Linked DNA regions of Canis lupus familiaris. The protein of the gene in region 1 binds, or shares a complex with, the protein of each later gene. Links are inferred from orthologs where the notes say so. Each region holds a gene or a part of one and is shown in the gene's direction. Other genes may lie near its edges.

Region 1 (4,045 bases):
TGAGGGAGAGAGAGTGCACTTGAGGGAAAGAATCTGAAGCAAGCTCTGTGCTGAGTGCAAAGCCTGACGGGGCTCAGTTTCATCACCCCAAGATCACGGTCTTAGCCAAAACCAAGATTTGGCCATTCAACCAACTGAGCCATCCAGGTACCCCTCATTTCATATTTAAAGAACTCTCTTTAAAAATTAAATATGACTCCTAGCTTTTTTTTAATGAGTTTAGTGCATTAATGCAATAGAATAAGTTCAAGGAGAGGTTTCTTGGACACACAGGAGGCTGAACTAGAGCCTTGCTATGGAGATTGGTCCACGGGATGTCAAGAAGCTATAGGAACATGCAAGTGATCTCCCCTCCAACCTCATGGGGAGGGATTGTACATCACAGACTAAACTCTTTCAGGTCTAAACTATGCCATTCATGATTGAAGTAGTTAGAACAGCATTTGGAACTCAAAGATCTAGAAGCAGTCATATAATCGTTTTTCTTTTGAAAAATCATCTTTTTCTATGCTGTATAATGATCAGGTATCACCTGTGTTGGTTTATCTGCTCTCCAAAAGGGTTTCATTACAAAAGTCAGAGCAGTTGGGATCCTCAACCCCTCACCCACCCCTATGTCAGGAGTAGAGAAAAATAAAGGTCCATCAATGTCAAACAGCTGGAGCCAATGGTGAGCTACCACCACTACAGTCTACAGTGAATGAGGCTCAGAGATGGGCAATAGAAAGCCAGAGAATCCACTCACTGACACGTACCCCATAAGGCCCTGGAGACACTCCTTTGCTAAAGCAATAGGGGAATGTACCTTGGGAAGAGCCGGGCTTGAAGGTATGACAGTGTCCCCAGGCTTTGTGGTACGGTACAGTGTCTTAGCTGGGGAATGGGGGCTTCACACCTCCAGACTCAATTGGAATAGTGTGTGGCTTAGGCAACGGGTTTTAAAAATTCCCCCTGGGATTCTAACCTGGGGTGAAGTTTGGGAACAGCTGAAGTAGGAGCTATCTGTTAGCATAGCTGGGAATCACTTTGCAATGAATCAATGTCTCAATATGTTCTCTAGCTTAAACTTACAGTGTTGTCAATCATATCTCAATAAAGCTGCGGGGGAGAGGAAAAACTCTAGGAGACCACCATTAATGTGGAGACTCATGGCACAAAGTGGCTCATATTTCTGTCACCCAAGATGGACACTTTTGAAGGCAAGAACATTGTTTCAGAAAACGTTATTCTGACAACAGACAGGAATGCTTACTATGAGTTCACAGGGAATCCAGATAAAAGTTCTATGGAGAAAGTAGATTAAACAAAAAATGGCAGTGTGGCATCAGACTGTGGTCAGTAAATGCAGACTGTGTAAAATAAGGACACACGCACAATTATCATTGTGGGACAGCCTGCTGAAGGCTGGGCGCAGGTGTGCTACGGGGAGGCAGCATCTTCACCAGTAGCATAAAGATAGGCACAGAAAGCAGCTGTTCCACATTGTACGCTGGGCCTGGCCATTCCAAGCCCAGGGCAGCCAATGGGAAGCAACAACGTCACTGGCCCAGGATTCCCAAAAGACCATCACTAGCTTGTGGTTGCCCGTGAGCCAGGGAGCAGGCTCTGGTTTGGGAGGCAACTCGGTGAGTTGGTGAGTATTTTATCCCATCTTGTTTCTAGTGCCTTCCTCTCTCCTTTCCCTGTGACTGATTAGGATCTATTATTTGAGCTTTGCTCTGTTCCCCCACACTCACCATTTTGACTAGCCAGAGCCCAAGGACCAAAGACCCTTTTTGAAAGAATGATGTGTCCCATTGCACCCATTTGAATAAAGTGTTTTTCACATTTGCTTATGGTACGTTCCTCAATCCTTTCCAGTCTCTAGGTCTAAAATAAAGAACAGAGTCAAGAATGCTATGGTTTCAAGTTCAAGACTGGCTGATGTCTGGGGGGACACCTGGGTGGCTCAGCAATTGAGCAACTGCCTTCAGCTCAAGGCGTGATCCTAGGTTCAGGGATCAAGTCCCACATCAGGCTCCCTGCGGGTAGCCTGCTTCTCACTCTGTCTGTGTCTCTGCCTCTCTGTGTGTGTGTCTCTCATGAATAAACAAAATCTTTTTAAAAAGTCTGGCTGAGGGATCCCTGGGTGGCGCAGTGGTTTGGCGCCTGCCTTTGACCCAGGGCGTGATCCTGGAGACCCGGGATCGAATCCCACGTCGGGCTCCCGGTGCATGGAGCCTGCTTCTCCCTCTGCCTGTGTGCCTCTCCCTCTCTCTGTGTGACTATCATAAATAAATTTTTTAAAAAATTAAAAAAAAAAGTCTGGCTGATGTCTGGACTTGGGGAAGTTCAGGGGTATTGCTGTGTTCATCGTGCTAATTCTGTGTTATAGGTTATGGTTATTGAAATGCTATACGGTCCTTATGATCTTTGTCAAGTGAGGAAACTGAGTCACAGATTAATTAAATGGCTTTGCCTGGGGTAGCAAGGGAGGAATTCCTATTCAGGACTGCATGTGACTAATCCCCAGCCCTGTAATCTTGACTGCTTCTATGGCATCATTCAAGACCCCTGTGCAGAAAGCTATTGCAGGTAGAGGTTATAAAAGATAGAGACTAGAGGGCGAGCACTTTGGTTAGTCTTTCATTTCCAGAAAATAACCTTAACCACCACTCTTAATTTACAACCTTCCAACCTACAATCTTGCCTCTCTGAGAATAATGTCCTTACCTTCTCCCCAAACCCTCTTCAGGTTTATAGGAGAAGGTGTCCATCTGCCTATCCGAGGCGAGTCCTTCCAGCTGGGCTCCTCCCTACTCAGTTGGGTTTGATTATCAGCTCCCTCTCTGGGGTGTATTGGAAGAGGTGGAGCATTATGATCAGGTGTGCATTAGGACGCTTTTTCCTAACAGCTGTTCAATTTTACAGAACCTCAGCTTTCAACTCTGTAAAGCGAACGTAATAATACTCTTGGTATGTTGACATTACTTATGGGAAGTTCAAAGGAGTTGCTATGAGGTATCTAAGAACGGATTTAGGGAAGTACTCATTTAATTTTTTGGTTTGCGACTTGTAGTTTTACTTACTCTTTGCTCTGAACATATAAACTTTGTCAGTCATCTCATCCTAAAGATAATCTTCCTGAGACCACTGTGATTTTTGTGGATGTTTTTTACAACCTTGATTCTCTTGTTTATCTAATCCCTCTAGTGATTGCTTTGTGCCATATAGCAAATGTTGAATTCAAATTGTGTCTGTATCAGTGTTCAAGTATGGCAATCTGAAGTTCATTCTCTTTTCATTGAGCTTCCCATATTCATTTAATCATTTAACCAAACAGTTGGGAGATTTGGGGTGGGGGGTTATTTTGTTTGGTTTTCAATCCCTATGTATCCAGGTTGTTTTATGTTGGGAGGGAAAACTAGGAATTTTTTGTTTAAAATTGCAATTTCTCTGTGGTTAGGATGTAACTGTTTTTTAAGGATTTATCTATTTGAGAGATCACCCCTGAGCAGGAAGGAGGGGCAGGGAGAAGCAACTCCTCACTGAGCCTGGAGCCCCAAGAAGCGGGGGGGGAGAGGCTCCATCCAAGGACCCTAGGATCGTGACCTGAAATCAAAGGCAGACACTTAACCGACTGAGCCATGCAGGCACCCCAGGATGTAACCTCTTTAGCATGTTCTTAGAAATAAGTATTTTTCCCTTTTTCCACCAATATGGTCAGTATTCTTCATAAATATTATATACGAATGTGCAGAAAAGTGGATGTTCTTTAAAGTAATCACATAAACTTCTCCCATTGTCAGTAATGTTTACCTGGCTCACTCTCTCCCTAGTCTTTTTTTTTTTTTTTTTTTTCTTTTTTGGCCCTTCATAGATGGGTTATGGTAAGAACTGTGTTGTTAAAATACATTTCTACTAGCTTCTAAAATTCTTTTTTTTGGGATCCCTGGGTGGCGCAGCGGTTTGGCGCCTGCCTTTGGCCCAGGGCGCGATCCTGGAGACCCGGGATCGAATCCCACGTCGGGCTCCCGGTGCATGGAGCCTGCTTCTCCTTCTGCCT
Region 2 (3,183 bases), on another chromosome or scaffold:
ATAAAATCTTAACATAAAAAGATTTCTAGATATGCACTATAAAAAGTCTAAGAACATGCATGGGATTATGCACAACAGCTTCTGGACAATGTTTTCTTGTCGGGAGGGAAAGGAAAAATGCTTTATGTGGTGTATATTTTAAAGAAGAGAGAGGTGAGGCAAAGGTGGGAAAATGTTAGCTTCTTGTCAAATGGGGATGGTGGTGGGGATTGTTACATACGTATTTGTTATATAACTTTTTGAATGTGTGAAATCTGTCATAATTTAAATTTTTGACTAAAATTAAGAACACTGAGGGGCCCCTGGGTGGCTCAGTTGGTTAAGCGTCTGTCTTCAGCTCAGGTCACGGTTCCAGGGTCGTGGGATGGAGCCCCCAGCAGGCTCCCTGCTCAGTGGGGAGTCGGCTTCTCCCTTTCTCTTCTCCTCCCCCCTGCTCATGGTCTCTCTCTCTCTCACTTGCTCTCTATCTCAAATAAATAAAATATTTTTTTTAATTTTTTTTTATTTTATTTATTTATGATAGTCACGGAGAGAGAGAGAGAGAGAGAGGCAGAGACATAGGCAGAGAGAAGCAGGCTCCATGCACCGGGAGCCCGATGTGGGATTCGATCCCGGGTCTCCAGGATCGCGCCCTGGGCCAAAGGCAGGCGCCAAACCGCTGCGCCACCCAGGGATCCCAAATAAAATATTTTAAAAAATAAATAAAATTAAAAATACTGGGCAGAAATGTACATCAACACTAGCTGATTTAGGATGTTGAAGACAACGGAATCGGTCTATAGTTCCTACATGTTCCACCTCTGACATTTCTATTTCAAAACACGACACGTTTGCTTGAATGATTTTGAAGTAGTAACCAAACACATTGTTGGGAGACAACAGGGAGGAGAAGGGAGAAAATGTAGACCCGACGAGCCTGCCCTCCGCCTGATCCACCTGCCCACCCACCTCTGGAAGGTGAAGCAGAAGCCGTAAGGTAGGCACGAAAAGTGATTCCGGGTCACGAGGCCTCCGAGTCAAGCCGCGCTGTCAATCAGCTCTGCGCTGGGCAGGGCTCTTTGAGGCCAGGTGATGTCTCACTCACCTACCTGGAGACGACCCCAGGTAGCCTCTGAGGGACGGCTCAAGCAAGCTCACACGCACGCAGGTTCCAGAACCAGGAGGAAGCCCCGGGGCGGGGGTGGGGGCTGGCTCCCCGGCGCCCCGCCCGCCACTGCCGCGGAAGCGAACGGGGTTCCGTTCACCCGGAACCGCCCGCGGGGCCACAGGAAGAGGCGGGGCTGGCCGGAAACCGTAAAAGGGGGCACAGCTTTCGTGCCTCCCTGGTGTTCCGGCGGCGCTGTCTGGACCCTTCTCTTCCCGGGCTGCCGGACCTAGCATGGTCGACGACGCGGGTGCTGCTGAAGTTTTGGGGGACGAATGGAGGCCCGCCTGGTCCCTGGACAGGCTGCTCCGGGCACCACTTCCACCACCGCGGATTCGCACCCGGCCTTGGTGGTTTCCAGTGCAGGAGCTGAGAGACCCACTGGTGTTTTACCTGGAGGCGTGGCTGGCTGACGCCATCTTCGGTGAGAGACCCCGCGGAGCAACTCTACGGTCTCTGCCGGATTTGCAGGCCACGTTAGACTCCACGATGCCGACCTTCCTTCCCCGGCCAACATTCCCTTCAAACCTAGCTCCTACTCACCTTCGACCATGTTTCTTTTTTTTAAGGATTTTATTTATTTATTCATGAGACACACACACACACACACACACACACACACACACACAGAGGCAGAGGGAGAAGCAGGCTCCATGCAGGGAGCCCGACGTGGGACTCGATCCCCGGATCGAGGATCACGCCCTGGGCCAAAGGCAGGCGCCAAACCGCTGAGCCACCCGGGCTGCCCCCCGACCATGTTTCCCTTCAGAGTCTCTCTTTTCCTGTTTAGGCCCAGACCGAGCCATAATTCCAGAAATAGAGTGGATGAGCCAAGTCCTGCTGACGGTGGACGTAGTTAACTCTGGAGACTTAGTTGAAATCAGTATCTTCGGATGGCCCCGTGTACAAAATCGGGTGAAGAGCGTGCTCCTGAGCCTGGCATCTTGGCACCGGAAACATCGTGCCAGAGGTGAGGGTCTCTAAAAGCCTGCATGTGGAGGGAGCCCCCGGTGAACCACCTGGCGGTACCAGGCTTTCTTCCAACCTTTATTACTTAACAAAACTTTTTGCAGTTTCCTAACTGCAGTGTTCTATATGCAACCCCTGGGCATCCCTTTGTAGAGAGGAGTCCAAGTAGGACCTTGGGAAAGTAAACGGAAATTGAATACATTCAGGCCTGTCGTCACTGCCCATGCCCCCTCAGCTTGGTTTCACCACTATTTCCAGATTGTTCAGAGCCCCCACCTGAGAAGTGATGCTGCTAGCATCTTCCCTCCTCCCCTACTCCCCTCAGTGATGGAGTAGTTTGGAACAGAAAGCATTTTTCCTTATCCAGCTGAGAAGATGAAACAACTTGAGGAGTTCTTGAAGACTGGTGGGACAGGTCCCCAAACTCCTGAGCATCCTGTTGCATAAGTATTTTCAGGAGCATTGTGAGAAGCAGCCCTACTTCTACTAAAGTTCAAGAGAAGCAAGTATCCATAAGTCTCTGCATTCTTTTTTTTTTTCCTGTGTCTTGATGGGTAATGCTTTGATTATTTTGGTGCAAAAGTCTGTTTGTAGTGTCATTCTAGTAAAGAAGTGAATTTCCTTTTTGTCCAAGGGCATAAAGATCTTTACTCACTTAAAATTAAGCAAAAGATTGATTCTGTTCCTTCATGTCTTGATGTGAGGGGTGGGTAAAAGGCTGATAGGTAGTGGTTTTATTTTTGTCTTCTCTTCTACCATTTTTATAAAAAAGATTTTATTTATTTATTCATGAGAGACACACAGAGATACATATAGGCAGAGGGAGAAGCAGGCCCCCTGCACAGAGCCCAGTGTGGGACTGGATCCCAGGACCCCGGGCTCACTGCCTGAGCCAAAGGCAGACGCTCAACCACTGAGCCACCCAGGCATCCGTGCTTCTACCATTTTGAATCTGGTAACCCATATATGATTTTTTTTTTTTTTTTTTTTTTTTAACCCATATATGATTTTATGGCCAGAGTCAGGCCCTCAAGCACAGGCCCCTGAACTTGCATTTCCTTCTTTCTTTT

The links.
Region 2: the proteins of NLRP5 (region 1) and OOEP are in contact, whole or in part, in a cryo-EM structure (PDB 8H93), measured with the Mus musculus proteins. The link is inferred for Canis lupus familiaris from reciprocal best matches to the Homo sapiens genes NLRP5 and OOEP. Residues at the interface, in NP_035990.1 of Mus musculus: Glu173, Leu176, Leu195, His196, Gly202, Leu206, Asn322, Leu325, Glu326, Tyr337, Ile338, Leu339, Val340, Glu341, Gly342, Leu343, Ser344, Ala345, Ser346, His373, Asn625, Gln626, Asp652, Ser655, Glu661, Leu662, Cys663, Pro664; in NP_080756.1 of Mus musculus: Ser26, Leu27, Arg28, Leu29, Arg30, Thr31, Arg32, Ile38, Val41, Asn43, Tyr48, Met49, Leu75, Leu86, Glu88, Pro95, Thr99, Lys102.

Annotation. Positions count from the first base shown.
Region 1 is NC_049222.1:102,609,021-102,613,065, reverse strand, and holds the start of NLRP5 (NACHT, LRR and PYD domains-containing protein 5), read left to right. Parts: upstream 1-1,183; coding exon 1,184-1,294; intron 1,295-2,374; coding exon 2,375-2,419; intron 2,420-4,045. UniProt on the Homo sapiens protein: Component of the subcortical maternal complex (SCMC), a multiprotein complex that plays a key role in early embryonic development.
Region 2 is NC_049233.1:35,686,907-35,690,089, reverse strand, and holds OOEP (oocyte-expressed protein), read left to right. Parts: upstream 1-1,324; 5' UTR 1,325-1,378; coding exon 1,379-1,568; intron 1,569-1,934; coding exon 1,935-2,114; intron 2,115-2,480; coding exon 2,481-2,560; 3' UTR 2,561-2,619; downstream 2,620-3,183. UniProt on the Homo sapiens protein: Component of the subcortical maternal complex (SCMC), a multiprotein complex that plays a key role in early embryonic development.